Notamacropus eugenii: one gene and its partners. The protein of the gene in region 2 purifies or fractionates together with the protein of the main gene of each other region. This does not show direct contact. Links are inferred from orthologs where the notes say so. Each region holds a gene or a part of one and is shown on either strand. Other genes may lie near its edges. The genes, in order: ZFC3H1, MPHOSPH6, EXOSC1 and EXOSC9.

What was found.
Region 1: the proteins of MPHOSPH6 (region 2) and ZFC3H1 purify together in Homo sapiens (affinity purification with mass spectrometry; 3 studies listed by BioGRID and IntAct, with this or other methods). This does not show direct contact. The link is inferred for Notamacropus eugenii from reciprocal best matches to the Homo sapiens genes MPHOSPH6 and ZFC3H1.
Region 3: the proteins of MPHOSPH6 (region 2) and EXOSC1 purify together in Homo sapiens (affinity purification with mass spectrometry; 5 studies listed by BioGRID and IntAct, counting the BioPlex papers as one, with this or other methods). This does not show direct contact. The link is inferred for Notamacropus eugenii from reciprocal best matches to the Homo sapiens genes MPHOSPH6 and EXOSC1.
Region 4: the proteins of MPHOSPH6 (region 2) and EXOSC9 purify together in Homo sapiens (affinity purification with mass spectrometry; 5 studies listed by BioGRID and IntAct, with this or other methods). This does not show direct contact. The link is inferred for Notamacropus eugenii from reciprocal best matches to the Homo sapiens genes MPHOSPH6 and EXOSC9.

The regions. Positions count from the first base shown.
Region 1 is NC_092874.1:249,496,447-249,504,647, reverse strand, and holds the start of ZFC3H1 (zinc finger C3H1 domain-containing protein), read left to right. Parts: upstream 1-5,003; 5' UTR 5,004-5,095; coding exon 5,096-5,741; intron 5,742-8,201. Other genes in the region: THAP2 (THAP domain-containing protein 2), read right to left, coding at 518-713, 4,194-4,282. UniProt on the Homo sapiens protein: Subunit of the trimeric poly(A) tail exosome targeting (PAXT) complex, a complex that directs a subset of long and polyadenylated poly(A) RNAs for exosomal degradation. The RNA exosome is fundamental for the degradation of RNA in eukaryotic nuclei.
Region 2 is NC_092872.1:543,301,227-543,308,940, reverse strand, and holds the start of MPHOSPH6 (M-phase phosphoprotein 6), read left to right. Parts: upstream 1-4,704; 5' UTR 4,705-4,864; coding exon 4,865-4,915; intron 4,916-7,714. UniProt on the Homo sapiens protein: RNA-binding protein that associates with the RNA exosome complex. Involved in the 3'-processing of the 7S pre-RNA to the mature 5.8S rRNA and play a role in recruiting the RNA exosome complex to pre-rRNA; this function may include C1D.
Region 3 is NC_092872.1:214,259,624-214,267,062, reverse strand, and holds the start of EXOSC1 (exosome complex component CSL4), read left to right. Parts: upstream 1-4,354; 5' UTR 4,355-4,460; coding exon 4,461-4,497; intron 4,498-4,588; coding exon 4,589-4,704; intron 4,705-4,885; coding exon 4,886-4,960; intron 4,961-5,970; coding exon 5,971-6,059; intron 6,060-6,822; coding exon 6,823-6,856; intron 6,857-7,439. Other genes in the region: palmitoyltransferase ZDHHC16, read right to left, coding at 112-306, 524-766. UniProt on the Homo sapiens protein: Non-catalytic component of the RNA exosome complex which has 3'->5' exoribonuclease activity and participates in a multitude of cellular RNA processing and degradation events.
Region 4 is NC_092878.1:162,645,226-162,653,065, reverse strand, and holds the start of EXOSC9 (exosome complex component RRP45), read left to right. Parts: upstream 1-4,591; 5' UTR 4,592-4,816; coding exon 4,817-4,882; intron 4,883-6,444; coding exon 6,445-6,539; intron 6,540-7,032; coding exon 7,033-7,152; intron 7,153-7,271; coding exon 7,272-7,374; intron 7,375-7,840. UniProt on the Homo sapiens protein: Non-catalytic component of the RNA exosome complex which has 3'->5' exoribonuclease activity and participates in a multitude of cellular RNA processing and degradation events.

The DNA of each region.
Region 1 (8,201 bases), on a different chromosome or scaffold from region 2:
TTGCTTCCAAGTTAAGAACCTCTGTCAGACTAGGTCTGCAACTTGACTCTAACTAGTTGTAGGCCCTAAGGCCAGGCACTTAACTTCTCATGGTCCCTTTATTCTTGTTTATAAAATGAAGAAGTTTGTCTAGTCAGTGGGGTCAAACTCAAATAGAAATGGAAGCCACTAAACAGGACTTCACTTTGAAAATCACATATTAACATTATCTATGTTCTATTGTATTTTAATTTTGTTAAATATTTCTCAATTGCATTTTAATTTGGTTCCCTCAGCCGGGGAATGTTGCAGTTCTACTCCTTTAGTGTTTGACATCTCTGATGTCAAATTTTCAAGTTCTCTTCTATCTCTAAAAATGACATTTGACAAGTAAGAACAATAAGGACAACTTTTTTGATCGTATGTGGCATTCAAGGTAGTCTTGCTTTCTTATGTAAAGGACAGTCAATGTCAGAGATGACAAAAATGAGGAGTTGGGGGAGGCAGAAAAAGGAAAAGAGAAAGTAGTGTCACCTACCATTGGTTTTATATGAGTACAGAAATCAAAAATTGTTGGTACGGCATCCATTTTAAGTCGTCTTGTTTGTCCCGTTAGGTCAAAACAGGAGGCTTCAAAGTGTTTTGAGCAAAGAAAAGTATGCTTCCCTGGCACAAAATTTTTACGCCTAACCAGACGAATCCATTCCTTTCTTCTTTGGGGGTCTAAGGGAAACCTAAGGAACAAAACACATCTCAAATGCCAACTGATTTGGAGAAATGACAACATTTCAGGTAATCCTAGTGGTTAAAGATTATTTAAAAATAAACAGTGATTTAATGTTGATTACATTTAAATATTTGCCTAAAAATATTAACACTGAAGTGATTTACATACTCTAATGAAAATAATTCATGTTCACTTTCATAAGATTGAATAAATAGCAACATCTATGAAGGCGTGACTAAGGTGATTTCTGTGATTTGGAAGAATACATCCTTCTCAACAGATTCCCTAGGATGTACAGAAAAAGGGAATTTTTTTCCTAGTCTAAAATTGTTTTAATCATATTCATTTATCAAGTGCATAGAACTATTATATTAGAATAATTTAGCTATGCCATCTACTGCTGCTGGCATAATGGTAAAGGCAAAATGGACACACTCATTTTGTCAAGAAAACTTAGGTAAAATGACCTCAATTTCTAAAATTTGTATTTTAGTTTCTAGTTAATTTGTATGTAAGTGTTGAAATCAATACTTTGTCATTACTGATCATCCCAATAGAAATCACAGTTCTCATGAAACAGTAGAAATATCACTGATAGGTCCAATTAGATTTTAAATTCCAATAAATACCTTGTTCTTAGTTCAGTTAAAAATTTACTGACATAGATGAACACACATATGGAATGTCTTCCTGTGTTTCTACGTTGTTCAGAAAAAACTCAACAGGATAATGGAGAGATTATTGATCTGGAAATCCTGTAAACAACTAGATTTGATCAATTTGATCTCAAATTTACTTTGAGTGTCCTCTAATGGAAGTGTTAATCATTATGAACTTGCTAGAAGAGGAATGAGAATGAAACTGCTCTATTTGGGGAGCAAAAAAATATTGGAGATATTAAGAGATCATGAAGAGGAGAGATCCACACTGGAAAGCTGTCATCACCATGACCTCCATTATGCCTATATTTCCTAGCAAGAAGTAAGGAAAATGGTAAAGGTTCTTTCACTTCTTGTAGCTATACTTTCTTGGAAATTTCAAGGTTTCTGGGATATGAAAAGTAGTTCTTTGTTATTAAAAAGTTTAGAGGCATTTTCACTTTCGTAACTATTTCCCCCTTTAAGGGATCAGATCCAAGGACAAAAATGTGGGCTGATTTCAAAGATCCTAATTCCACTATTTCCTGATTGTGTCAATAAACCCTAAATGATTTTTTCTCTTCCCTAGGAAAGACAAGGGAATGTTGAGTGTCATTTTCTAAGACCTCTTCATGACTGTACGTAGCCCATCAAACAAGTCTTGAAGACAAATATTTATAAAAATAATATTATTATAAAAATAAGTCATCCTTTCCTCATAGGTGTATTATTTTCCAAACCTTTGTCTTTGAAGGTTATCTTAAAATCACAGAGCCCAGACCTGGGCTGTGTTCCTTAAACGTAGTCATATGGGTCATGTCAGTGATATTCCAAGATAATTTTTAGATTGAGAGGCACTGAAGTATAATGGATGGATGACTATCCTTAGAATAAGGAAAACTTGGTTCAAGTTCTATCTCTTGGTCACTTATCAGCTGTTACCATAGGCAAGTCACTTAATCTCATGAGGTTCCAGGCAACTCTTTAAGACTAAAAATTACAAGGGGATTACTGTACTGGGCAAGTGACAGGTCTGGATCATTGCCAACCTCCCCAAAATCTTTTGATTATCTATGTTGATGGAGAATATTTTTGTTATTGTTTCCTGACTTGTGATTTCATCAGTTGCAATAACTCCTACAGTGGAAAACTCCCACAATACAAATTAGCAATTTACCTTCAATTTATTTTTTAGAGAGTTGCCTAGAGCTTGAATCCAGGTATTCCAAATGCAAAGACTGTCTTAAATTCACTAAGTCACATTCTCCCAGAGAGTATTTAAGCACTGAGAATTAGAATGAAATTTTGAAGACTAGCACTGGAGTTTGAATGAACCAATTAGGATTCTCTTTAAACATTTAATCTGAACAAAAATCATTTCAATAAATTCAACAAATTTTATTAAACATTTGTTATGGTTGATCAGTCTTTTCAGTCCTATCCAATTCTTTGTGATCCTATTTGGGGTTTACTTGGCAAAGAGACTAGAGTAGTTTGCCATTTCCAGTTCATTGTACAGATGAGGAAACTGAGGCAAACAGGGTGACTTACCCAGTGTGACATAGCTAGTAAGTAAGAACTGAAATTCAGGTGTTCCTGACTCCAGGCCTATTCACTAAAAAAATAGAGGCAGCTTGGTGTAGTGAATAGACAGCCACAATCAGAATCAGGAAGACAACTTCAAGTTCTGCCTCTGACACATACTCGTCTATGTGACCCTGTATCAAGTTACTTGACTTCTCAATGCCTTCAAAACTATTAGCTGTATTATTTGCAGCATCTGCCAATGCTGATCTACTTTGGTGGAGGACGTTTATTCACTGGGAGTTCCCTATGCTAATAAAATCACAGGTTTAGTTCCTCCCTACCCAGCATCTCGAAAAAGCGGTTGATACTAGAAAACAAGTCCCACAGCTGGTACTCAGCAGTTAGAGTGGGGAAAGTAAAAAGTGCCCCCCCCTCCAAGTGTCATACTATATTACACATATCCTCAAAGGTTATATATATTTTTAGTGGCCAACTGTACACAGTTCTTTTAAAAGTGCCTTTCTATAAAAAAGTTTAGTACTTAAAATAAGCATAAAGAAGATACAGGAGTTTCGGCAGAACTGATGAATTTTTATTTTAAAGCAATTGGCAAAGAAACAACTCTGCCTTTCTTAATACTAGGGTAGAACAGACACCAAGCCCTGCTTTAGGTTTTCTGTTAAACAGAAAGTTCAGAGCAATACCACGATTGTCATTGGCCGCTACCCCTCAGAAGAATCAACTTTGATGTCAATTCTGGAATGCGGCATTGCCCAATTTTAATAGGGCAGTAACTGTTTTTCCAGATGGGGACGACTTCTTTGGTCCAACCAAGCTGAAAGATGCCTCTCTTTGCCTGGCCCTAAGTTTCCAGAAGCTCGGCTGCTCCTGTATTCTTCTTCTTCCTTTCTTCCTCCTACCATCCTTTCTTTCTTTCTTCTACTCCACACACACACACACACACACACACACGCGCGCACACACACACACGCGCGCACACACACACACACACACACACACACACACACACACACACACACACACACACACACACACACACACACACGTGTGTCGGGGCTGGTAAAGCTAGGTATCCCTTCACATAATAGTGTATTTAAAACATTGTCAACTGAAAGAAATGCTACATTTCAACTTGTGAAAATGACACTTTTCTCCCGCTGAAGCTCACGGTTTCCCTGAAATCTATCCACGGACGCCGCGTTACGACCCCGAGTCTGGGTGGCGCCGGGCGGGATCCAAGACAGCCGCGGCGGGCGGTTCTGGTTCTGGCCGCCCAGTCCCTCCCGACCGGTACCTGTTACCTGTGGAAACTGACGTTTATGTGCTTGTTGTAGGTCGCGGCACAGCCCGCAGCGGCGCAGTTGGTCGGCATCTCTCTGACTTCCCTCATCCGACCGACGCGGAGCCCAATCGCGGGCGGGAGGGAGCGCCGGGGATCCCCGGCAGGCTTGGGAAAGGGGCTAGGTCCCTACTCCACAGGGGCTTTCTTTCCCTTTAATAAGATGGCGGCCTCGAACCCGCAGGGCAGACGGTCCCTGAGTTCACGCAGCCTTGTCTTCCTTCACCAAGATGGCAGCGCCCTTCCTCCACATCGACCGCCCCCCTCTGCCCCTCCCCCTCTTTTTTAACTCGGGCAGAAAGAGTAGCTTCCAAAATCGCCCCAGCGGGGCAGACTAAGGAGATTCGCCCAATGGGAACCGACTCAGGGTCTGCGGGGGGGTTTGTGAGGGTGTCGGCAAAAGGGCGAATAACGGGAAGGGGCAAGGAGAGAAAGAAAAACTACACCTCCCATGATGCCCCGCGCGCCCCGATGGATCACCGCGTGAGCCATCCAGAACCGCGTGTCGCCTCGGCCTCGGGAAGGCACTTCCGGTTTGCCTCCTTCCAGCCTCCTTCCTCGCTTGCCTTTTCTCGCGAGGCCCTGGCGGAAGATCCGGGAATCTATCTCGAAAGGGGCACAGAAGGAGCTGGGTGGCCGGCGGTGGCGGGGGAAGTTGGAGGACGGCACTCCCTCGGTGTAGAAAAGCGTCCACCTCGGGGTAGGGGTGAGGCCCGGCCAGCCCGGGGAGTGAGGAAGGAAGGAAGGAAGGAAGGAAGGAAAGAAGGAAAGAAAGAAAGAAAAGAGAAGCAGGTGAGTTGTTTCTTTTTGGGTGGCGGCTGCCCCGACGGTGGGGGTGCGGCGTGAGTCCAGGCTGCTCCGTGGATGGCGGCCCCGGACGCCGCGACCCCGGCCACCAGCGGCCTCTCGCCTAAGGAGGAAGGGGAGCTGGAAGACGGGGAGATCAGCGACGATGACAACAGCCAGGCCCGCAGCAGGAGCAGCAGCAGCAGCAGCGGCGGCGGCGGCGGCGGAGGCAGCGGGTTGCCGTACCCGCGGCGGAGGCCTCCGCACCCGCCCCGGGGCGGTGGCTCCGGCTCGGGCGGCGGAGGCGGAGGCGGCGGCGGCGGCTCGTCGTCGTCGTCGTCGGCCTCGTCGCAGCCGCCGCCGAGGAGTTTCTCGTCTCGCTCGCGGCACCCGTCGGAGCGTGGCCCTCTACGCGGGCCCAGCGGCGGCTACCGGCCTAAGGAGCCGTTCCGCTCGCACCCGCCCCCCATGCGGATGGCGTCGTCGTCCTCGCTGTCGGAGGGCAGCCCTCGGCAGTCCTTCTGGGAACGCAGCCACATCGCCCTGGACCGTTTCCGCTTTCGAGGCCGGCCCTACCGCGGCGGGGGCCGCTGGGGCCGCGGGCGAGGCAGCAGCAGCGACCGGGGCGGCAAGCCGGCGGGCGGCAGGCCCCCGGCGGGAGGAGGGGGATCGGGCTTCGGCAGCGGCGGCCAGAGCTGGAGGGAGCCTTCTCCTCGCAAGAGCTGTATCCTTTCCGTGGGGGTGGTCGGGGCTGTTGGCTTCTGGGGATCTTCTCCTGCTCTTTTCGCAACCCTTCCCCCCCTGCATCCCGAAGTCTGGGCTTGGGAAAAGTAATGCCCAGGAGCAGCCCTGTAATAAGCCATGCCGTGTTTTATTGTTGCGGGATATTCATTGACTTGTCTACTTTCACAATGCCCTCCACAAACGGGAATCGCTCACGGGCTGTGCTGGGCACTGGGATTGAAAAGATCAAACAAAAAACCCCCTGCCAAAACCCCCCAAAACTCCAAACCGCTCGAGTGCGTCAGTACCCTGGAGGAACTTGTATTTGGAGGAGTACGATACACACGTGTAAGTAAATAGGAATTTTGTACCAGGTTTAATTGATTTGAACTCCTTAGAATTGTAAAATTTCTCATTACTCCGTTCATTTGTCGAACCCAAGTTGCAATTTTATTTAATGCTTTCTCTTCTTGTTGCCTTTAAAAGTGAAGGGGGAAAATGCTCCCCAAAGAGCTACAGGGAAACCCCTGTTATTAAGAATTGTGTCTCCTTGGTAGTTCTAGCTGCTTTCACTTTTTTCCTTTGGTGTTTGCTGTTTGTTACAGGAAGATCTTCCTATTAGGGTAAGTATGGATGAGAGACTTATTTTAGTAAGTTTGACTACCGACTAAAGTCTTGGGAGGGATTAGGATGGAAAGCTAAGCTTTTGATTCTTATTTTTTAAAAAAAATTACTGTCTTCAGGTACCACCCTGTGTGATTATAGAGTGAGTAATCTGGTGTTCTTAAGAATTAGTGTTCATCCTTTGGAAACAGAATCATAAGATTTAGAACTGGGAGGAGTTTGGGAGCAAAGATAGAGGTGAAAGATTAAAGCTCAGAGTGTCATATAATAACATAGTTGCCGGGACCCTAAGGTGTTCTCTTGTATATTCAGTCAGTCTGTAAATATTTATTTAGGTCCTCCTATGTGCTAGGCACTCTAACCCTCAAGGAGCTTACAGTGGGGGAGGGGGGGTGAACAGGAGAGGTGGAAACATCAAGCAAACCAATATGTGCAGCCAAGCTATATATACAGGATAATAGAAACTAGAATCTCTTCTAAAGAACGTGATCTTTGCTTGAAAGCCATGTCTTCATTGGCAATCCATTCCATTTTGAATCAACTCGTTGTTAGGAAATTTTTCCTTAAATCCAGTCTAAACTTGCCTCTTTGTTCAAACCCCTCAGAGGGGTTCTTAACTTTCCTTGGGGCTCTGATTGAAGCCTCTGGACCCTTTCTCAGAATAATGTTTTTAAATTTGTAAAACAAAATACATATAATTGCAAAGGAAACCAATTATGTAGAAATTGTTACAAAAATATTTTTTCAAAAGCGTTGGCTCCAGGTTAAGAACCCTTGGTTTAAGGCTACACAGAAAGTGGCAAATGAATATTTTTTTCATTTAGAAATTAGGTCAGATTCTACATCCTTTACTCTTTTTTTTACCCTCCTTAATCATACTTTATCTTTTTCCAATTACATACAAAAATAGTTTTCAACATTTATTTTTGTAAAATTTTGAGTTCTGAATTTTTCTTCCTCCCCTTCCCCAAGACAGCAAGCAATCTGATACAGGTTATAGATGTACAATCATGTTAAGCATATTTCTCATAGTGATTTTGTTGTGAAAGAAGAATCAGAACAAAAGGGAAAAACCACGAGAAAGAAATAAAAAGTGAAAATAGTATGCTTCAATCTGCATTCAAACTCCATAGTTTTCTCTGAATGGAGACAGCATTTTCCATCACGAATCTTTTGGAATTATCTTAGAGCATTGTATTGCTGAGGAAGAGCTAAGTCTATCATAGTTAGTCATCACCCAGTGTTGCTGTGTATAATGTTCTCCTGGTTCTGCTTATTTCATTCTGCATCAGTTCGTGTAAGTCTTTCCAGGTTTTTCTGAAATCTGCCTGCTCATCATTTCTTATAGAACAATTGTATTCCTTTACATTCATGTTCCACAGCTTGTTCAGCCATTCCCCAGCTGATGGGCATTCCCTCAATTTCCAATTCTTTGCCACCACAAAAAGAGCTTCTATAAATACTTGTATGCATATGGGTCCTTTTCCTGTTTTTATGATCTCTTTGGAATACAAACCTAGCAGTGATACTACTGAATCAAAGAGTTTGCACTGTTTGGTTGCCTCTTGGGCATAGTTCCATTGCTCTTCAGAATGGTTGGATCAGTTCACAACTCTTATCAACATTTAATTAACAGTTTTTAGTTAACAGTTTCGTAAACAGTTAACAGTTTTCCCACATATCCGACATTTATCATTTTTCTTTTTTGTCATATTACCTCATCTGATGGATGTGAGGTGGTACCTTAGAGTTGTTTTAATTTGCATTTCTCTAATCAGTGATTTAGAAAATTTTTTTACATAATTATAGATATTTTTAATTTCTTCCTCTGAAAACT
Region 2 (7,714 bases):
ACAATAAGCTGGTTATTCATACTTGAGGTGACTTCTACAAAGCCCATTGTTCTTTCTTTTAAAAAAACACAAAGTATATTCTGAAAACAAGGCTAAACTAATGACATAGCCAGCTGTATTTGCTTGAGAAAAGAAAAACATACTTTAGGAAGTTTTGTTTTGGTGAGAAATACCTACCTGAAAACCTCTGCATTCTTAGATGCAGAATTCAAGACTTTGCAGCTCCAGCCCTCTCCATACCCAAATTGAAAGCCAAGCCAAGGCCAGAGCCTCTAATTACAGAGAAGGCCCCTGGGGCAGTTCTTCAGGGGACTAATTAGCATTGGTTTGTAGCAACTAATTAGCATTTGGGTTTCCCAGCATGCCCCACCCTCCCCAATCCTTTCACTGTTTTTCCCAAAATGAAAGCCCTAGCTTTTTCTAGCAGCAGAACAAGTTTTCATTCTAAATAGCTCCAAGTTACTTAACTCTTCATGTGTTTGACCCAGGAATACCCCAACTGGGTTTATAATCCCAAAGAGGATAATGTCAAAAGAAATGTCCCATATATAAAATAATATTGCATTGTTGCATTAACAAAACGCTCAGAGAGATGATGAGAACCTGAATCTTAGTGCCTGCCTAAACAGAAAGGCACAGAATCCAGAGATTAATGAGGAAACAAAACTATCACTCTTTGCAGATGCTGTGATGCTATTCTTAAGAGAATCCTAGAGAATTAACAACTTTAGCAAAGTTGGAGGATATAAAATTAACCTGTTGTGGTTTGTGGCACTGGGAACCCCAAAATGTAGGGGTATAGAGGTCTGCCTTGAAAGAATTCAGCTGCTCAAACCTTCTTTCAAAGTAGTCAAACTTTATTTGTGAAACCAATAGAGTAGTCAGGCAGCAAACACCATATCAACTGTTCCTCAGACCTTTCTGAAGCCACAGTGGCTCTCAGGTAGAGGACCATCTTCCAGGTGAAGAATCAGCCTACCTTTAAAGAGATGGACAACGGAGGCATTCTTGAACTCATGGGGGATAACCTCCTCTTGCCCTATAACCTGGAAAATTTCAGTCAGCTTTTGTATGAGCAATGGTCCCCCTACCTTGTAAATCTCAGCTGGAATAGAATCAGAACCAGGTGCTTTGCCACATGAAAGGAGCCTAATGGCACTCAAAACCTCTTCTTCAGTTGGCAGTTCAGCTAAGGAGGGATTGACTTCAACCTGAAGTAAATGGTCAATGGCCTCAGCATTGATTGATGATGGTCTGTTGAGAATACTATGGAAGTGTTCAGTCCATCTCTCTAGGATCATGTCCTTATCACTAACCAATGTGGCTCCATCAGCACTGAGTAGTTATGATGCACCATAGGTTTTTGGTCCATAAATAGCTTTCAGGGAATCATAAAAGTGCTTTGGATTGTTCCTATCAGCATAAAACTGAATTTCATCTGCCTTCTTACTGAGCCAGGAATCCTACATCTTTCTAAGTTTTGCTTGTACTTTGCTTTTGATGGAATTAAAAGCTGCCTTCTTAGAGATTGATGAACTATTCTGCTGGCAAATTCTGTGTACTTCTCATTTTTCATTTAGCAGCTTCTGTATTTCCCTATCATTTTAATCAAACCAGTCTTTGTGTTCGTGAGTGTTCTGACCCAGATAAGCAAACGCAGTGCTGTACACCAAATCTCTGAAAGCTGCCCATTCCTTTCTGCTCCACTGTTGCCAACTGTGTATTGGCTCAACTTTCCCGCCAAGTCAGCAACAAACTGTTCATACTTTGATTAGCTTCCAAAATGTCACGTCACTATTGGACAAAGAAATCACCTCCATACCCAGGCCACTTTGCAGCCTTAGGCCATCTAATCAAAGAATTTATCCTTACCCAAACCTAAGAACACAATGGACTTCCCCACCTTCTATTAAATTCTGGTAAATTTGGGTGGGGTCTGACCAAAATCAAGGTGAGAACTCAAGGGCATTATCAGTAATGTGCTTCAAGAGACTGAACTTTGAATGAGGACTACAGAAAAATGGGTAACTCTGGATTTCCCCAATTCATTGGTTGTTAATAATTATTTCTCTCATATCCCACAAGAATCCTTATGATATACATGACCCATTGATCCTTAGAATCTACATTCCTATGCATCCCAAAGCGAATCATTTTGTGGGATTGGGAAAACAAACATTGCTCATCCACTTACCTGCATCTTCTGAGTAGCTTACAGAAATATCATGGAGAATTAGCAGGAACTTTATCTACTACTCTACCTCTAAGAATGTGCCTTTATTCCTCCAGGTACAGTACTATCCTCTTTCTTCTCCAAAATTATACACAGTTCTAAAATCTTTTCCTTCTTGGAAGCCAGTGCCAATCTCAAGAATTCAATCTATTGCAGACTCAAGAATCTGGGAGCTCTCAAACTCAGAATTACCCATGACACAATCACCAAGGTTGCAAATGTCTCTTCTCAACATTACTAGTCTCTGACCTGTGCTCAAGGAAACAGGAAATTAAGAGAAGGCAGTCAGGACCTGGAGGTACTGATGGGGTACTTCAGCTTGGAACCCAATCCTAAAACCACATCTCTCTCCAGCCCAAAGATCCCATCTCTGGCAATAACTCATGAGCGGGCCGCAGTGGAACAAACTATCTCTCCTTGTTACAAGAACAACCTGACCTCTGTGGAATTTCCCTTGTATGAACAGAACTGTCTTGTAGCAACAGAACTATCTTGTTCTGATTCCCACAGTTACCCTATACAATCCAGAGGTCAAGCTATAGATGTCATTTCCTGAGGCTATCTTGTTACAGATGTAGCAAACCACAAACACACTCCTTACAAGTCCCTTGCCCATCCAGAATTTCCAGTAGTGAATGATGCCTGAGTCCAAGGTACAGAAAATGAATGTTTACCACCTAATTAGCATACTTGGCATACAAAGCACTGTTTTTCCTATAGAGGTTTTAGCATCGCCTCCACCCACTTATTCTGCAAGTTCCTTAAGGAACTCTGCACCCTATATTAGCTTGACAATAAACTTTTTGCCAAGAGACTAGAAGACTGCTTGAGTCAAAGAATTCTTTCTAGATGACTCTGCCTTGTACCGAGGCAGTTTGGGGTCTCTGTACCCCTAAACCACATCATTTAAGGTACCACCTTCTCAAACTCACCTAACCAAACACAGGCTACTCATCATGTGCTTCTCCTACGTCTCCATCTTCAGCCTTAGGGGACAGAAGAAAATCCATTCCCCACAATCCTTGCTGCACCCTAGTCGGAAACCTAAAGGAGATAAAGCCTAGGAAAAGAAAAAAAGGGGGAAACTGTTTCACAGTTCATTTTTATACCACAGAGAACAGGTAACTTAACAAAAGTCTGTCCTCTTTGACTCTCAGTTGGCAGTCCTCTTGGAGGCAACCAAAATCACTAGAAACCAATCAAAGAAGTTACCTGTGTCTCCTCAGCAAGGGTCTAAGGTAGATGTGGTTTCCATAGGAGCTAACCTTTCCAGCAAAAATCTACATCTGTAATCTCTTCAAGTGTACTGGCAGACTCATTTAATCATAGGCTCCTCTGATCAACTTTGTCACACAGTAAAACATATGTATTTTAACAATTCTAAATAACTATACATCAGGGGGTGAGGATCATTTTCAAAATAATGTCCATTAACACCTGCCCCCCCCAAAAAAACCCTAAAATTTTAAAACTTCAATTTTACTTTGTATTAGAGAGAAAAAGGAGTTTTCAGTTTAATAATATAAAACTTCTATTAGGCTAAATAAATAAAATGTATACTTGTTCGAATAAAGCAAACACTTAAAATTTACATTTCCATACTCTTATCTCCTTAAAAAGAGAAAAACATCAGGAAAGGTAAAGAGAAGGAGGTGGGGAGAATCACACAAAGGAAGGTAGTTGAAAAGAGGGACAAAGGAAGTCAAAAAATTGAGAGAGGAGCTCATTTCTATCAAGAGGTGGTACAAGAAAGGCAAAAATGAATTCAAAAGTGATGAATGACAGCACCAAAAGAGACAGTAAGAGAAGATGAGGATAGCCCATTGATTTTTAGAGCTGCTGTTAGGGGACAATCAGGCCCTCACACAGCACGGCCCTCGGTGCCTGCAGGAAAGGGGGACTACTAAATGGACCACGGCACCAGAGCCGGGCTGGTACTTCCTACAGTGCCCAAGACACACCTACCCTAGTCAGAGAACCTAGACTGGAATAATGCATAAACTGTGCGACCCTGGACGAAGTTACTTCTCTCTGGACCTTCCCCCAGCACCCTTATGACTCTGGGCAGGTCGCTTCCCCTTTCTGACTCAGTTTCCCCTCTGGTAAAGTCCCGTAAAGCCCCTTCTGGTCTTGACTTCACGTGAGACCAAGGCAGACCCCAAATGCGACGGAAAACCCTGGCTGTGAAGTCAAGGCGGCTGGGCTGAAATCCTGGGCGACGCCAGGGAAGTTACTTCACCTCTCTGGGGCTCAGGCTCTTCATCTTGTAAATAAACGAGTTGGGCTAGGTACTGCTAACGCCCTTTCGGTTTAAGCTACGTAATCCACGGTAGTTTTCTTTCCTCTTCCTTCTCCGAAAACCTTGGGTATCTTTGTCCCCCTCTCCGAAGTTAGCAACCACAGCCGGAGGGTGACGTGACACCGGTGCCTTCCACCCCGGACTCTGCGCAGGCGCACCAAAGGGCTCAAAGAAGGCCTTTCGCTCCAATACTCGCCCCACCCCCCGACCCCCGCGCTGCAGACCGGCGCCGGACAGTGACGTAAGCAGACGTGACGCCGCAGAAGCGACGCTGACGGAGTTTCTCCAGGAGCTTTCGCGAGTTGTTTAAGGGAAAAGCTAGTGAAGGCGCCATGGAGGCCACGTGTAAACCCAAGCTGTCAAAGAATCTCATGAGGATGAAGGTAAGAGACGTCGCGGCGGAAGATAGTGCGGCGACGTCCCCGAGGGCGGCCGAGGCTGCGGGAGCAGAGAGGGAGGCCGAGGCGGCGACGTCCCCGAGGGCGGCCGAGGCGGCGGGAGCAGAGAGGGAGGCCGAGGCGGCGACGTCCGCGAGGGCGGCGAGGCCCCGAGGCTAGTCTCAGAGGCCTCGGTCTGGGGTGGCAGAGGACAACTGGGACCGGACCGTGTAGGGCTTTGGATGCCCGACTCCGAGGGCCGGACTTATTCACCGAGCGATAAGAAAAAACAAAGAACCTTAGCAGGTTTTCTGCAGCAGGGTCACGTGGTCAGAAATCTTAGAAGGGCACGTTCCTCTGCCATCTGGGCCCGCTGCTACGTAAATCGCTTTGTGAGGACTGTTTTTACATGGTCCACATTGCTGTCTTTCCCATCAGAGTGGAGCTCCTGGAGAGCAGGGAGTGGGTTGTGCCTTTCTTTGTAGACCTCGCACTTGGTATAGTGCTTGGTATGCAGCAGGCACTTAAATGTTGTGTCTCCACACTTCACCCCTTTGCTGTGAACATCTCCCAGCTTCATCTTTGCCTCTCAGAAATCCTCAGACTCAGTTGAAGTGCTCCCTGCTACATGAACCCCAGATGCTAGTACTCTCCCATGCAGAGTCACCTTACTTCCATTTTGTATGTCTGTACATGTACATGTTGTCTCCCCTGGTAGGATACAAGCTTTTTGAGGACAGGGACTCTTTCACTTTGGGCTGTGGATCTACAGTACTTAGTAGCAGGTGCTTAATAAATGCTTGGTTATCTCATTTAATGCTCACAACAACTCTGTGAGGTAGCTACTATAAGAAGGATTAGTAGGTAAATGTGAAGATAATCCAGAGAGGGAAGGCATGTCCTAGCATTAACCAAGTTGGAGAGAGGCTTCTTGTGAAGATAGAGTTTTAACTTGAAGATGAAAGAATCAAGGGAGGCAAGGAGATGGAGATGAGAAGGAAGAGAATTCCAGGCATGAGGACAATCAGGGAAAATGCCTAGAGTCTGGAGGCCAATTTAACTAAACTGTAGAGTACATGAAAAGGGTTAGTAGGGAATAAACATGGAAGGGGGGCGGGGCAGGGTTGGAGGCACATTGTGAAGGGCTTTAAATGCTAACAGGTAGGTTGCCATTTTATCCCACAAGTAATAAGGAGCCACCAAGGTTAAGTAGAGGAGTGACATAGTCAAACCTGGGCTGTAGGAAAATCACTTTGGCAGCTGTGTGAAGAATAGACTGAAATGTTGAGAGACTTGAAGGAAAACCATTTTGAAGACATTAGACAAGTGCAAGTGAGAGGGGTGAGGGCCTAAGGCTGTGTGGATGGAGAGAAGGAAGCTAATATGGGAGGTGTGTGTGGGTAGATTTGGCAAATAAGTAGAGGTGGGAGCTGAAGAATGTCAAGTCAAAGCTCTCCACCAATTCTGCAAATCTGGATGACTGGAAGGATAAGTAAAGGCTACTGGAAGTCTAAGTAAAGCACTTTGTTAATAATGACTGATTTATAGTGCTTTACATGTATTCTCATTTGATTCTCAGTTTCCTCTTGAAGTTAAACATGATCACCTCAGAGGGCAAAGCCATTCCCAAGCCTCCCCCTTTAAGGTTCTGGACCCTCCTGGCTTAAGAGTGATTATCAGTAATAACTGTTGCTGTTTCCCTCCCAGCTTGATTTAGTTATTCTTTCTTTGGCTCATTAAAGGAGCCATCCCCTGACTAGTTCTTAAACAGGCCTATTCACTGAATGGGAGCCACCTCACCCTAAGTGAGTACTTTGGCCTAAAGGTCTCAAGGTCTTCCTCCGCATCCTGGGTCATCTCCAGTCATCCTGATGAATGTCCGGTCACTGGATTCAGATGGCTCTGGAGCAGAAGTGAGGCTGGTGACCTGCACAGCCCTCCCTCACTCAAAACAAAGTCAAGTGCAAGTCATGTCATCATTTCTCTGATGTCATGGTCTTCTTCGAAAATGAAGGATGAACACAGACAGACACAGACTTTGTATTTCCTATTTACTTACACCTCTAGGGTTTTTTTCTTTTGCTTCTAGTATAATGTAAGCTTCTTAAGGGCAGAGGCCTTTTGTTGTTGTTAGCCAGTACATAAAATATTTATTAAGCTCCTATTAAACGAGGCTCTGAGCTAAGGCCCTACGGTTAAAAAAAATACAGTCCTTTTCCTCAAGCTCACCGTCTGATGGAGGAGACAACAAGCAAACAGATGCTAAAATCAAGGGCGGGGGTTTACTTTCTGTAGAAGGTGGGATTTTAGCTGGTACTTGGAGGAAGTCAGCAAAGCTGGGAAGCAGAGATTAATTAGGTGGGAGGGAATTTCATTTTTTCGTTGTATCCTTAGCATCTGGAATAGTACCTAGCACATAGTATACCTATAAAAAGAATATGGGATAGATGAGTGAATGAAGGTTCAGACTGAATTGGAAAGGAGAGGCTGGAGGCTGAGAGAATTGGTAGGAAAAATTTTTAAAAATCCACACAATTGATTTGGGCTGTGTGAGTAGGAGGTGATAATGAGAGATTGGAAAAGTAGAATGACATGATTTAGGAACAGTTAGCATGGTGAGGGAGTGTCATTTGTGAATTAAAGTTGATGCTGAGGTTTGGTCATTTGGAGAACTGGGGATACCATTGACAAAAAGATCCATGTGAGTGGAGAATAGTGGTGGTAGGAGATGAGTCTTGTTTTTAAGTTTGAGATGCTTGCAGGACATCTGACTATTAGAGGTTTTTCAAAGATGTTTGGAAATGG
Region 3 (7,439 bases), about 330 Mb from region 2:
AATTCTTGAAAAGTTCTGCTCCCAAAACTTGTTGCCCCTTTACTAGGATTCTAGGTTCCCTGTCCTATTAGTTTGACCCTGGTGTCCTGCTGTGCCTTCCCTGAGCCCTACCTGGGGTGGGTATCCAGGAGGTGTGGTGATGGCCTGGTAGTAGTGGAAGACGATAAGGATGAGGTTCCAGTGACTGTAGACAAAGTGCCAGCAGATTCGGGGCACTGAGTAAGTATGGAGAATCAGGGGCAAGACACACAGGTAGGCAATAGCAACAATGGAGCTCGTCAGTACAATCACCAGGGCCACAAAGACCTGTCAACAGTAGGAAGTCAACACTCATCTGTGACTGGAGTATGGAAAGATGGCACCCCACAACTAAGGCAGTACAAGAGGAGGAAAACAAATAGAGCCTGGTTTTGTAAAGTATTTTGTGGAGTCTTCAGATCAAGCCACCTATCCCCATCCTTTCACCCAAAAGTCACACATCTCTCATGCTAACCCCAAGCCACATAATCCTGCCAACACTCACCACCCCAAACCAGCGGATCACATTGTCCACAAGCCAATAGACAGGCTCAAAGGCAGAGTCAATGGCAGTGTCACTGCCCCCAAAGGAGTTGTAGAGCAGAGAGCGCAGACAGACTTTTCCATAGCGCCAACGAAGTACAAGGTTCCGAAGTAACGATGGGCATCTGCGTCTGTAGCCCAGGAGGAGAAGCAAACGCAAGCATAGGCGTGCTGGCCCCAGCAGTAAGGACCGGCGGCTTCGCATGGCCTCCTACAGCAAGATAAACAGGCGGTGAACACCTAAACTCCTGCGCCCCACCAGACAAGTGAGTCAAGTAAGGGCTCTCTGAGGTCACACTCAGCCTGCCCCTAATGACTTACTTATTCCAACAACCACAGGATAGAGGTGCTAAGCTTAGATTTGAAGAATCAAACTTAACTAAGTATACAAATACAGGAGCTCACATGTTTAACAAATAGTACTGAAATTGTAAACCTCCCAAATGTGAGGTAAGTAATAAAAGTAGTATTATGCCTGCTTTCCAGTTAAACAGGCTGGAAGGTACAGTAGCATGACCAGAATCACATCTAAGTTAGGATGTGAATCCAGATCTAAATCCAGCAGTTTTTCCATTACACAATGCTTACTCTTAACACAAGAAGTAGACTAACACAAGAAGGATGTAAGTCCCGCCACTAAATGACACCTCTTGCATCAAGAGGGACAAAAGAAATAACTGGCACCAAGCAAAGTCTTCCTCTGGATTTCTCTACAGAATAGGAACCAAGAGGGCAGAGGAAACCTTAAACAGCAAGAACAACAAAACCACTGCAAGGAGAGAATGTGACAAAGCGTGTGGCCTTCTGCAATGGCAGAGCTGTTGAGGAAGCTGCCTGTCACCTAGATCTCCCTCCTGCCCACCTCCCACTCACCTCCCACTTCTAATGCTTTCCACTCTTTAGCTAAAACTAGCCACATCAGTATACGAAAGCATTCTGGAGTGGATCCTGTTCCAAGGTCTTTGATGCCATCTATATCCTTGGAGAGAGCTATCAGTTCTCATCTTCTGGACTGCTCTTACAGGCTCAGAGACCTCAGCCTGGCAGCATAAAATTCCCAAGCTTTGCACCTTCCATTCTCAGTCCCAACTATCACATGATGTTGGGACAACAACTCATGGCACTTTGTGGTTACAAAGCTGTATCTCCTTTGATTCTCCAAAAATCCCGAAGAGATATGGAGAATAAAAATGATTGTCCCCATTTTACAGATGAAGAAAAGGACTCAGAGATAAAAGGACTTCCCCAAGATCACCCAACCAGGAAGTAGCATGGCCTGACTTCAAGTTCAGATCTTAGGATTTCAAGTCCTGTGTTCTTTCTCCTGCCTCTTTTGTGACATAAATCTTGACATCTTTTCTAATCTCCCTATTCAGAGGCTAAGGGAACCACCAAGATATGGGTAGTAGGATATTGTCACTTCCACCCTAGAAGTGACATTTACTGGGGATGTCACATATTTAAAGGTTGCCTGTGTCCCTTTTCTCAGACTCAGATCCTTCTTGAGAACATAATCTGGCCTGTGAAGTTTAGTCTTTTCCTGAATTAGTTAGAAGTCAACCTAATGATCCTCTTAACTGCCCCCCCACCACACACACACACACACACACACACACACACACACACACACACACACTCTCTTTGTTCAAAGCAGAAACGCCTTCTCTACAGTGATTTCCCCTCACAGGCCTGCTTCTTAGCTTATCTCCCCAGCGCTCCAAATTCTTTAATATCTTCAAATATTTTCGTTCTCTCTGGCTGTGGAATAATACAGCAATGGAAGAGGAAAAGACACCTAACCAATATCTTCAGCTACAGACTTCTGTGGATACCTGCACCAATTTTGTGAATGAGTCTATCTCTTATGGAAGAGCAGATTATCGGATTTGTCATGTGGGAGGCAGGAGGGTGCTACTCTGCTCTCAACTCTGTTAACTTAATTATTTAGAATGAAGTCTGAAACCCAGAAGAAACCGGAGGAGGTCTGCATATCTAGGCATGGTTTCAGTTCAGTAACTGGATCAGTGTCCCTTCCTTCCACCCAAGAAAAGCCTTTAAACACAGGTATTCCATCTCCTATTCCTGCACCTGACAGATAACGAAGGAAAGAGAGAAATGGAGAAAGAGGGAGAAGGTGAGGGAGGGGGGAGAGAGAGGGAAAGAGCCAGCAAGTAGTACTGCTCTGGCCAGAACCTTAAAGCAGTCAGAAGTGATGCTGTCCATCAGGATCAGGAAGCTCTCCAACTCCCTGATATCAGGGCAATCAGGAAGAAAATATCGTAGGATAGAAAATGCAGGAACTTTGAAGCTCCCTCAAGACTCAGCTCAAATCCCATCTTCTCTTGGAAACCTTTCCTGGTTCCCCTATTGCGATTACTGCCTTCCCTCTGATTTTTTTCTATCTACTCTGTTTAAATCTTATGGATACCTTGTTGTTTACAGGGATCCTACGTTAGAATGGGAGATCCATGATCCCATGTGCCCAGCACATAATTAAATATTTAAATAAATGTTTAATAAAATAAAAATAAAATAATTAAAAATACTAATTAGCTGACTCTACAGTCATTTGATTTAAAGTAAGGATTTCCAGAACAACCGACAGGCGTATTCAAATGCAAAAACTACAACAAAAATCCTCTGCATTTTGAAACTAAGCAAAAATTTTAAATCCCATTTTGGGTTACATACACTACACCATTTTAATTGGTAGATAATAACAAATAGCTTATACTAAACTAAATAACTAAATAAAATAACTAAAATAACTTTAAAAAAAAACACTAGATGACTTTCCTAAAGGGAATAAATTCAGATTAAACAGCACTATCCTAAAACTCTCCATTCCTCTAACATCAGAGTGACCAGAAGTACTCCTCCACAGACTGTAACCTGAGGAAGTTGTCTCACAATCCTGTCTCAGCCCCTAAACTTGCAGTTCTCCATCTAATCTCCCCCTCTACATTTGCTGGATAGGTTTCCATTTGGGCAAAGGCATGGAGGAGGGAAGCGTTGCCCCGCCATCTGTCCATTCTAGGGTCACCAGCCCAGAGACGAACTTCCCCGTTTGACCTGAAGGCAGGTCCGCGGATAACTGGATAAAGAGCGTTCGGGGATGCAGGGCTCTGCCTCCGAATACGGGGCTCCGCAGAGGTCAGTAACTTTCTAGGGGGCCCGCGGGTGGACAGACAAGGAGGCAGCGACGTGACCCCGTCACCGAGCTCGGTCCGCCCCATCCCAGCCAGCCCCGAGTGCCAGGTAGGGAAGCAGAGCCACCACGGAGGGGGAGGGGCAGTGAGCATAAAGAAGCCCCTCCACCCCCTCCCCAAGGGCTTGGAGGTATCCCGGGAAAGACGAAGCCCCCCTTCCTCGGCCCCCGCCTCAGGAACGGCCCAGGGCGCACGGGCGCAGCCACTGACCCCTCTCACGCCCCGTACTTCCACGCCCCCCGCGGCTGGGGGCCCAAGATCCTGAGGGAAAGGAAAGAGGTGGGAGATAGAACCTTGTGACCCCGGAGGTCGCCTTACCTCCTGTCTGTCGGGCAACGACCCAGTCCAGCCCCGAGGACTTCACGGCTCACAGCAGCCTCGGCCGAAGCCGACCCCGGCCCCAATCAGCCAGAGCCACCATCCCCAGTCCCCACCTGCGGCGGCGCCAGGACCGCTACCACCCCGGCCTCCCCTACGGCGCAAGCGTGGGCAGCCTGGCGGCCCGCCCTCTTTTCTTCCTCCCAAGGTACCCTGGGAGCTGAAGTTCTGGGAGGAGAGGGAAATCTCTGAGGAGGCCCTGGAGAAGCCACGTGGTACGCCAGCCAATTGGCAGTTCTGTTACTCGGGCCCTCAACTTCGTTTCGACCAATGGATTGACGATCGGTCTCTCGCAATGGCTGTTGGGAGATCATGGCTATGGCGCCGCCGATGCGGTACTGCGTCCCAGGTGAGTGAGCCCCGAGGAAGGGTTGCCGGCCCGGCGAGCTGCCGCTGAGGGCCCGGATGGGAGGGATGGACACCACGTTTGTCCTCCGCAGGCGAACGACTGTGTAACTTGGAGGAGGCCAGCCCCGGCAGCGGCACCTACACCCGGCACGGCTATATCTTCTCCTCGCTCTCCGGCTGCCTGGTGAAGACGAGCGACAACGGCGAGGTGAGGCCGGCCTGCGGGGCCTCGCGGGGCGCCGGGGAGCCCCGTAGGCCTTTGCGTCCCCAAAGCCTGGGGTCGGCCGCCGGACGGAGCCAGGGCCTCTAGCCCCACTGAATCCGCCCCGTGGCCCCCTTGACCTGGCACCGAGTAGAGCTCAGGCCCCTGTTCTTCGTCCCCTCTGCAGCTCCCGGTGGTGTCAGTGACCAGAGAGACCGAGTCCCAGCTGCTGCCAGATGTGGGAACGATCGTAACGTGCAAGGTGCGGTAATGCCCACCCGCCTCCGAGCTCCCACATGCCCAGGGCGCCGGGCTTTGCCTCCGTCCGCCGGCTGCAGTAGTGGTCAGGGCTGCTGGTTGTTCCATCGTGTGACCTTTTAGACTGTAAAAACCCCTTTCTACTTTACAGGGAATGTCATTTTCCTACTCGGTGGGTACCCGGTTCTGAATTCTAAAAGCTGGGGGATTTATTCTTTAGGAGAAAAAAACGAAAGCAAAAATCCTCACCGTTCAGAGGTTCTAGCGAACTTCAGATCTCATTAGACATTTTTAAGGAAAGAGACTATGAGTTAATTTTGTGTCACTAAAGTTTCTCCAGGATGAAAGCTAGAGTAATGTTAGTATCTTCATAAATAGCCCCAGCAGAACAGTATGTGTTGTAATGTTGAAAGAGACTGAGGAGCAGTGGTACTAATTCACATTTCTACAGGATGTTCCAAAAGGCTTAGTGCAATTTTAAGCTTTAATAGGTTCCCGTGTCTAAGATTTAATAACTTAAAACTTCACTAAGACTTTTGGAACACCCCATACAACATTTTGCACTTTATAAAACGTTTTCTGTGCATGCTTATTCCCGTCTTCACAAGAACTCATTGAATTCATACAAATGTCCCAGTCTTAATTTTGCAAATGAAAAGACAGCTTACAGAATTTCAGGTTTTTAAGTCTATATTCTTGATTCGTTAAGGTCCTAAAAGACCGATGGCTCAATTGTCCAAGGATTCGAACCTGCTGGAATGCCTTACATTTGTTTACTTCTCAACATGCTTTCATTTTATTTCATGTGATATTCTGAAATAGGGCAAATTTCCCTAAATTATTGAGAAAACTGAAACAGAGATTAAGTGAGTTACCTAGTTAATAGGATAGTTAAGAGTAGAATTTATTTCCCTTAATTACTTATTTAGAAATCTCTGCCATATATCACCAGGATTTCTTTATCTGACAGCTGCTAATATTTTTAATCCATCCATTATCTTCTCTATGGCACAGGTCTCCAGCATTAATTCTCGATTTGCCAAAGTACATATATTGTATGTGGGATCCACACCACTCAAGAACTCCTTTAGAGGCACTATCAGGTGGGAAGCTTTTAAATTTATTTATTTTGCTTCAAAACAGTCTGGGATTTTAAACAAAATATTACAGATCTACATCCATCATGTTTCTTTAATATCTCTGCCTTCCTTTCTCTGTGATCTCTCTTGTGTTTCACAGAGAAAGTTTGGACTAGGGTAGTAAATTTGACTGAAGTATGTGCTTAGCAGGCATCAGGGTGATATGTGTTCATCCAGAGTTGATTGTAAGTTTGTTAGGCCCTATTTCTCCTAAAGATTACATGTAATTGCAGTTGTATAGGCCAACCCTGGTGATTATTAGAAATGGAGGAAATTACTGGGTAGGGTTCTTTTTCCCGAGTTTTCCCTTGAAAAGGGGACAGAAATCATTTTTCATGGATGTAAGATCATTTATTCTTCAATCTCTGAAAGTCTCTTCCATCCTAGGATTCTGAATAGCTGTGCAGTCATTTTCTGCCACTTCTTTCCAGGAGGGGCTAATAAGTTTTCTTATACCTTCGCATGTCTTAGCTATCCTGAAACTTCCTTCTCTCCAGACCCATCCCTAGGAACAATTGCTGGCTATTCTATGTGGGCCTCTTGTGACAGGATAGAGGTCTTAGCCCAAGATGTAATCTTGGGATGTGTTTCCATCTTGTGCCTCTGGATGGCAGCTAATTAACAAATATGATTCGTCCCAATTCCAGCAGCTACTCTGGCCTTGGTCCTAGAAAGCAAGTCGTTGTTTCTCTTGAAGAATCTTTTTTTTTTTTTAATTTCCTTACAGGAAGGAAGATGTTCGAGCTACTGAAAAAGACAAGGTAATGATTTTTTAAAAAAAACTTAATAACTATGGAATCTCAAAGTTCCTGTTATTGTAATTAATTTCAAAGACCATATTTGAGGACAAATATATCAGAGAAAGAGTCCCCGGTGATACTAAAGTTGTCATTTTTCTACTACTACAATGATTTCCCCTCTTGCCACACTGCCCCCCAAGTCCTTTTCTCCCTGTGGATTTTTTGTTTATTGACCAGAGAGGAACAATTTGCTCTGTCTTCTAATTTGGTACATTTTTCTAGAATACTTAGTAACATTTCTTCAAATTTAAGTATGGGTTCTCACTCTAAGCCAGATATGGGAGCTTTTAGCTAGGTCAAAATCCTAGGTCCTGGCACTGTAGATTTCTAAATAGATACTTTGTTCCTTAAAGAGTAAAATGGATTAAGATGAACAGGTGTGATTTCTACCCGCTGGGAGAAAATGAGCTGAATTCAAATGAAATGGTTAATTCCAAAGCAAATAGATCCACTTCCTAGCTCCATATGGTCACTTGGAACTAGAAAAATCTGTAGAAAGATGGGATTCATTCATTTTAGTGAATTGAACATGGTTGATCTGTGC
Region 4 (7,840 bases), on a different chromosome or scaffold from region 2:
CTAGGCACTGTGTTAAGCATTTTACAAGTGTGATCTCATCAGATCTTCACAGCAACCCTGGAAGACTCAGTGCCATTTTACAGTTGAGGAAAGCGAGGCAAACAGGTGACTTGCCCAAGTTCACATATCTTACTGTATACATTTGCTTCTCTCTGATCTAATGTATTAAATTGAATTACCATAGACTTTTTATGTAGCTGGAAATAATTTGAAGTTACTGTTTATGCCATGATTTGGGTTGGCTGTATGAATCCCCCACCTTTATTTCTTTCTTTCATTATTCATTTTTATTTTTTTATTCTTTCATATATTGTTACCATCTAAGTTAATTTTATTAAGTATGCCTTTAGTATTTCAACTGGTAAAACATGCTAATATAGTTGGTAATGCAGTATTGTTATTTTTACTTTATTAGGACTATAGAGTCAAGCAGATTGAATAAATATACATGTTTAGTTCTTTCCTTATTTCTATAAAAATTGTTTTGCATTTTTAGAAATTCAAGGTGAGTGTTGGTAGGTTAATTTCCAGATTTAGTCTGTTTTGTTTTCATTTAAAATGAATTTGCAACAAAATAGTTTGGTTGGTTTTTTGGTCTGGTATATAGTAGGCACTTAACAAGTGCTCTATTGTTGTTAAATAAAAATTCAGGTTACTTTATTTTCCTATCTGTTTTGCTGAACATCTATTGCCCCTAATTACCTCAATAAGCTAAAAGTCTGTGGTTTGCTTTACTGATTTCTTGTTGATTCTCTTGGGTTTTGAAAGTAAATGATCTTAATGTTTACAAACTGAGAAAATTTAGCATGTTCTTTATCAATGCTTGTTTCTTTACTTTACCTTGAATCTAGAACTATGCCAGATGACATCGAGAGGGCATAGATAATCAGCGACCTGGTTCAGTCCAGTATTCATCAGTCTGTCACTACTTTCTTTTCCATGGCTCCTACTTTTATTAAAAAACAGTATTTTACTTCTTACAATTACATGAAGACAATTTTTAACATTCTTTTTAAAAAAATTTTAAGTTCCAAATTTTCTCTCTCCCTCCCTTCTCCCTAAAATGATAACCAATCTGATATAGGTTACATGTGAGCAATTATGTAAAACCTATTTCCATATTGATCATGTTGTGAAAGAAGAAACAGACCAAAAGTGAAAAAAAACCACACAAAAAAAATGTGAAAATAGTATGCTTCCATCTGCATTCAACAACAGCACCCACTTTCTTTTAGGTCAAAGACAAGTCCTTCCCAGGTAGGCCATCTCACATCACTAGGCTGGCTTCTAACCCATTAAATGCTGTGTAAGATGTAAAGACAGGAAAAAAGAGTTCCCTTTCCCACGATTTCGATGAGCTTCCATTTTTATGAGGTTTGTTTTAGGAGAGGCCTTTTTCTTGGCCAGTGGCTGGGGTGAGTGCTATAGCCTGACTCATGAGTGTACAGGCCTATTCACTCACCCCAAGTGAGTCCCTGAGTAGGCCTTGGCCTAAAGGGGCCAAGGTCTCCCACTGCATGCTGGGCCATCTCCAGTCATCCTGATGAATATCTGGTCACTAGATCCAGATGGCTCTGGAGGAGAAGTGAGGCTGGTTACCTGCACAGCCCTCCCTCACTCAAAACAAAGTCAAGTGCAAGTCATGCTACCATTTCTCTGATGGCATGGTCTTCTTCAGCAAGGAAGGACGAACACAACGGTAACATGAGTGTCCTGCTGGGAATTGCTACCTGTAGAGGTGAAGTGATGGACCAAGCTCTTATTTGGCACTGAATCTATTTATTATTGATTACATACTGAAGTTGTTAATGAAGAAACTCTTCTAATCCGAAGAAACCCTCACACTAAATGTGTTATATACATCAAGCCTATATATCAAGCTGATGGTTTTCTTTGAAGCAGATTATAGCTGCTTCTAACCTCTTAGAACTGCCCTATTAAAAATCCAATAGTTTTTATTCCCTTGCAACCTTTGTAACAAGCCTTTCTGAACTTTTAACACCTTGTTAAGGGTGGACCTGATTCTGGTCACTTGCCTTATAATTTATGTTCAAACCTGGAACAAAGTGAGACACTCAGAGTTCCCTCACCAGCCAACAAAAGGAGTTTTCCTTAGCCGTGGCAGGAGAAGGCTATTCAGCAAGGAGAGAGGGCCTGAGTTGCCCATCATGGTCAACTAGCCAAGCAATGAGAGAGGATACCTAGAGCTCAGCACAGCTGCAACCTGAAGCAAGCAGATGTGAGGATGATCTGATGAACTTTTACTTTGTTGGGTTTTTTGCGAAATTAAGGTAAACATTATGTAGTATTTCAGATTGTGAAGTGCTTCTTCCACCTCCCGCCACCAAGAACAACAAAACTGAAAGCAATTCATCCGATGAGGGGTCCAATTAGGAAGAAAAAAGTAAGGAGAGAGAGGGAGAGGGAGAGGGAGAGGGAGAGAGAGAGAGAGAGAGAGGGAGAGAGAGAGAGAGAGGAGAGAGAGAGGAGAAGAGGAGGGGGAGGGGGAGGGGAAGGGAGAGAATGGTTGCATGATTAAATCCAAAGCACCACAACCTCCATCTTGCCTGTCTCCCCTTTCAAATTCCAGAGACAGGAACATTTAGAGAAAGTATATCAGAAACAGTAAGGCGCTATCTCCTAATTCTGCTCTGTGGACCTTTCCCTTTTCCCACCCAGAGGCCCACAAATCAGCCAACAGTGTGAGGGACCTTAGGCTAACCAAGCACAGAGAGGAAGACAAATGGAGACCATGTGTGAAGGCCAAGGAAAGGAGGGAATTTCCTGTATCTTCCCGGATAAGGGCTTTGAAACAAGTACTCGATGCACCACTTCAGATGAATTACAAGTTACGAGTGGGGAAACGCACCAAAGTCAACACTGACACAGACACAAGGAGGAAAGAGAAGGGAGACTGAGGTTAAGACAACTTGTACATCTTGCCAACTCTGGACAAGGCAACGACCAATCATGTTTCTAGAGGGCTAAGAATGAAACTCACATGACCACCGTATGGAATTGTTTTCCTTAACTAAGCTTATTTGTTACACGTCTCTGCTTGTTTTCTGTCGGTTTTCTAATGGGGGTGTGAGGGAGAGAGGGGAGTTAGCAATAATGAGGAAAAAAGAGGGTTTGTTAAAACACTTTTTAAAATGCACAGACACAAACAGAAGGGAATACAGACTAAGCCAACAATTTTGAAAATAGCATAAGCAATTTAGAAAACTAGGGCTGTGAAACAAGCCCGGGAGTTCACATGCTGCCTAAAAAGGAAACGCTTTTTTTTTTTTGGCATTTGACTGTACATTGGACATAAATTGTGACTCATTTCTGTTCGAACGTCCTCACTGTCCGCCTCTTAGTAGCTGCAGCAGAGGTAACCTTAAATACTCCCTATGTCTTTGGGGGCAATATTCTTCCCTTGGGGACTTCTGTGGAGAGTTCATTCTAACACCGCAAAGAAATGGAATTAAGGCTTATTTTCTTTGGCTTTCTAATTTTGGGAAGGGAGGAGATAATGAGTTCATTTTTGACGTGTGGGACCAAAGCCCCTGGGGCTGTATATAGATGTGAGTCATCTGCACGAGGATATGGACCCCAGAGAGCACGGCTCAAATCTGCCCCTCCACAACTCCCAGGGTCACGAGCCCTCTGTGCCTCTGCTCTGGCCTCCTGCAGCCGCCCCCCGCCCCTCCATTCCTTACCTTCCCCAAGGCCAAGGTCTGGCCTGCTCCCAGCTTTACTACGCAACTGCGGGGGCTCCCTTCCCTGAGCACCCCCTCCTCCGCTGAAGATGCTGCTCTCGCCACATTTCACCCCAACCGCTCCTCTATCTTCCTAGATGGATGGGTGGCACCCCAGAACCTCCCCTGTTCGGGAGCACCGCCCAGAGCTGGGGAGGAGGCCCCCGGCCCGGATCTGACCCCCAGGGGCGGGCCACTCCCCTTTTCTGCTGTCCAGTTCCCTCCTCAGAGGCAGGGAGCTGGAGAACCCGGGCAGCGGACCTCCCGGGGTGAAGCGCTTCCTAAAGCCGTGGTCACTTCGGCAGTACTCCCCCCTGACCACCACCCCCCGCCCCGGCGGCACAGGGGCTGAATTCGCCATCGGAGGCCCTGCTGTGGGGTCTGGCCTTGCCTCCCCGTGGGCTGCTGAATGTTGTCAGTCCTGACCCCGCAGGGGGTCTTCTTGCCTGGGGTCCTTGGCTAGCCCACTGCACAGATGAGGACACTGAGGCAGGCAGAGCTCGGGGCCTCGGCCAGGTCCTCGTTCCCTGGAGAAGCCCCCACTCGGGGCGGGGGCTCGAAGATGCCGCAGGCCCGCTGAGCACCCACTACGTGCAATCACCCAGGATCACCCGCGACCGACAAACACGAGTGTGCGGATACTCGGGGCGGCCGGGGCAAAGTCCCACGAGGGGGCTGAAGGGAGCACGCGCGTTCACGATCCCGGGGGCCTCCCAAGAACTCTTCTGGTCCACTGTTGTCCTCAGTAACGTGGGCACCCGGTCTGGCGCCCCAGAACCGCGCAGGTGACTCCTCCCGCCCCCTCCCCCTCCCCCCCGCCCTTAGACCGGAGCCGTGACGCCTGCGCAGAAGCGCCACGGCGCCCCGCCCCGGCCCCTTCGCGCATGAGCAGAGCGGCAGCCGCTCGCCCGGCTCTCCCCTCCGCCCTCCACGGGCCGCGTACTGATGCCGTCAATCTTCGGCGCCACCGAAGACGCCTGGGCTTCACGTGAAGCGGCGCGCGCTTCTCGTTTCCATTCCCCTCCCTCCCTCCGGGTTCCGGGGCCGCAGCGCTCCCCCCGAACGGCGCTGCCATGAAGGAGACACCGTTATCCAACTGCGAGAGGCGCTTCCTGCTCCGAGCCATCGAGGAAAAGAAGGTAGGGAAGGAAACTCGCGCAAGCGCGGCCTTGAGCCCGCTGTTTGGAGGCGGGGGGCGGGGCGGAGCAACTGTCATTCTCCCGCCCCGCCCCCTCCCTGGCGCGCCTAGGGTGGAACGCATGCGCCTCCGGCCGCGGCCGCCCTACTAGTGTCACGAGCGTCTCCCGGGTACCCGGTCCTCAGTCTTTCCCCCTCCTTCCGGGTGTCTGGCCGTATGGGAAACGGGCTCTGAACTTCAATCTCAGAGAGCCTGGGCTTCCGCTTTTCCGAACCCTGCCCTACCGTGAGCGCATGCGTGCTTCTGGCCGCTTACAGCACCCACGCATGCGCGCAGCCCGGGCTCGCGCTCGCGCCTCCGGCGGATGGGAAGCCCCTCCCTCCAGGGGGCGGGCCCAGACCATGCTTAGGAGCTCCGAGGCAGAGGCGGTGGCTGCTGCCATGTAGGGTCTTCCCGGGCGGGGCAGGGCGGGGCGGGCTGGCAGCCCCAGAGGGGCAGGGACGTGCCCGGCCCCCACCCTGCCCTCGCTCTCGGACCCTCGGCCAGGCTGCCTCTCTCCGCAGTGTCAAATACAAAGTAAACGTCGAAGAATCCGGAAAGGCGGCCCGCAGGAGGGGCGCCCCCGAACGGGGCCTAGAGGGCGGGGGCAGGAGGGACGAGGAAGTGGTGGTGACGTCAGCGCGTCCGGGCGGCCCCCGGGGCCGAGTGACGTCAGCGCGTCCGGGCGGCCCCCGGGGCCGAGTGACGACAGCGTGGGCGGGGCTGGCTCCAGGCCCGCCCTGGGGCGTCCCCTTCTGGCCCCGGGGTCTGCGAGTCGGTGGTGCTGGGATATGTTATTTCAGATAAATAGTCGTTAGCAGTCTTGGTACCTCGCACGTATCTATTAAATACGGATAAATAAACCGTGTTACTTAAAGGTACCAACCCCGAGCTTATGGACAGGTCACAAAGAGCTGCTGCTGAGCCTGCAGACTCCTCCTTGGAGGCGCCCACAGCAGAGAATAAATGCATAGAGCGGTGCCGGGCGAGGCGTGTTCAGGCACCGGATAAGAGGGTACATGCAGCGCCCCGCGGAAGACGGCCCCGCAGAACTAAGGGATCCGGGGCATGCCGCCGTCTCGTGCCTCCCGCGGGCGCTGGCTCCCCACTTGGTCATGCTCGGCCGTGATCCGTGGCAGGGCCTGGCTCTGATGGAGATGCTCTCCCCGAACCCGCCACCACATTCCCTTCATTCCTACTCGTACTCTGTGACTTTGGGGAGAAACTGGTCCGACTATTGCGCTAGTCTCCTGTGAGAGGTTTATTCGAGTAAAAAGCATCCGAGGTTTCAGACACTGACACATTCAAAGGATTCCCATTGTGTTCTGAGCCTAGTACTGCCGTAGGGAGAGGTGAAGTTTGCGCTTAGTAAAGAGCCGACACCAACAAGAGCTGTGATACAAAGTAACAGCAAACCAAAGTCAATTAGAACTCACCAGTTTAGTTAATAGACGTTAAAGCACTTTAACTGTTTGACCCTCCTGAAGTTTCTCCCTACCTATGAAACTTGTCTTTCTGTTGAAGCGCCTTGATGGTAGACAGACCTATGACTACAGAAACATCAAAATTTCATTTGGAACAGACTACGGCTGCTGTATTGTGGAACTTGGGAAAACAAGGTAAAAAAAGGCTACCCATTGTGTTTCAGTAGAATAAAAATCAGCTTGAGAAGTACCTCATAGCCTCGGCTTTTTGGACATTTGAAAAGTCTGTGAAACCAGCCTGGCCCTCACTTTTTCTCATCTGTAAAATGAGAGGACTGGACAAAATGTCCTCTGATGTTGTGGAAGGGTGGCAGTAAGCAGAGGTTCAAGTTTAGCTGAGGCTGGCAGCTCTTCTGAGCTGCATGGGGCTGTGCCAGCTGGGCATTTGTACCATCTGACTTTAATGTGGTAACCCCTTAGTCCCAGGAGGGACAGACCAGCCCAGGGAGGAAACAGTGTCAGAGCTCCTCAGTCACTCAGGGGTCGGTTCATGTCCCGCATATCCAGTCTGGGCAAGAGAGGAAGATCCAATTTAAAAAAATATATTTAAAAAAAAAATAATCAACTGAGATGAGTTGTACAAAATGTGTAGGTTTCACTGACCAAAGTTTATTTTTTGTTTTTGCAGAGTTCTGGGGCAAGTCTCCTGTGAACTTGTTTCTCCTAAGCTCAATCGAGCAACAGAAGGTATTCTTTTCTTTAACCTCGAACTCTCTCAGATGGCTGCTCCTGCTTTTGAACCTGGCAGGTATTGGATTCTGTTTCTTAAGAAGGATTTACTCTGCTTTTTGGAAGAGGAAAATGCATTATAGCAGCGAGTTTGTGTTTCGATGGCTCTCTCTCATCAGCCCATACTTATATTCATAGGCAGTCAGATCTCTTGGTGAAGTTGAATCGACTTTTGGAAAGATGTCTAAGAAATTCGAAGTGTATAGACACCGAATCTCTCTGTGTTGTTGCTGGTGAAAAGGTACAGAATATGCCTTCAATGGTTAACACTAGGGGAAATGTCGTAGATTTGGGGAGTTGACATGCATCCTTCATTCCCAAAGCTTTAGTCGATCCAATTTTTTCATGGGGAATTCTCCCATCTCTCCCAAAGGTTGCTTGCGGGTGTACTTGGGGCATCATCCCATTTGTTGTTAGGAAGGAGTAAACTGACACTTTGGATTTATAGAATCCTCCTTCCAGTGCGTTTTAGACTTCTCAGCCAAATTTATGTCATTCAGTCTCTTTAAGGTTTTTCATAGAAGCGGACAGCACTTTCCTCTTTTACAAGCGAAGACCCAAAATGCACACAGAAGTTGTTTAACCTCCCCAAGTCCATACAAAACAAGGATTGGAATCCAGCTCTTTTGATTTTCAGTCCAGTGCCAGCCTGGCAGATGGGTCCCTTTGGATTTAACCTTGGCTGTAGTAGACGGACTTGAACTATG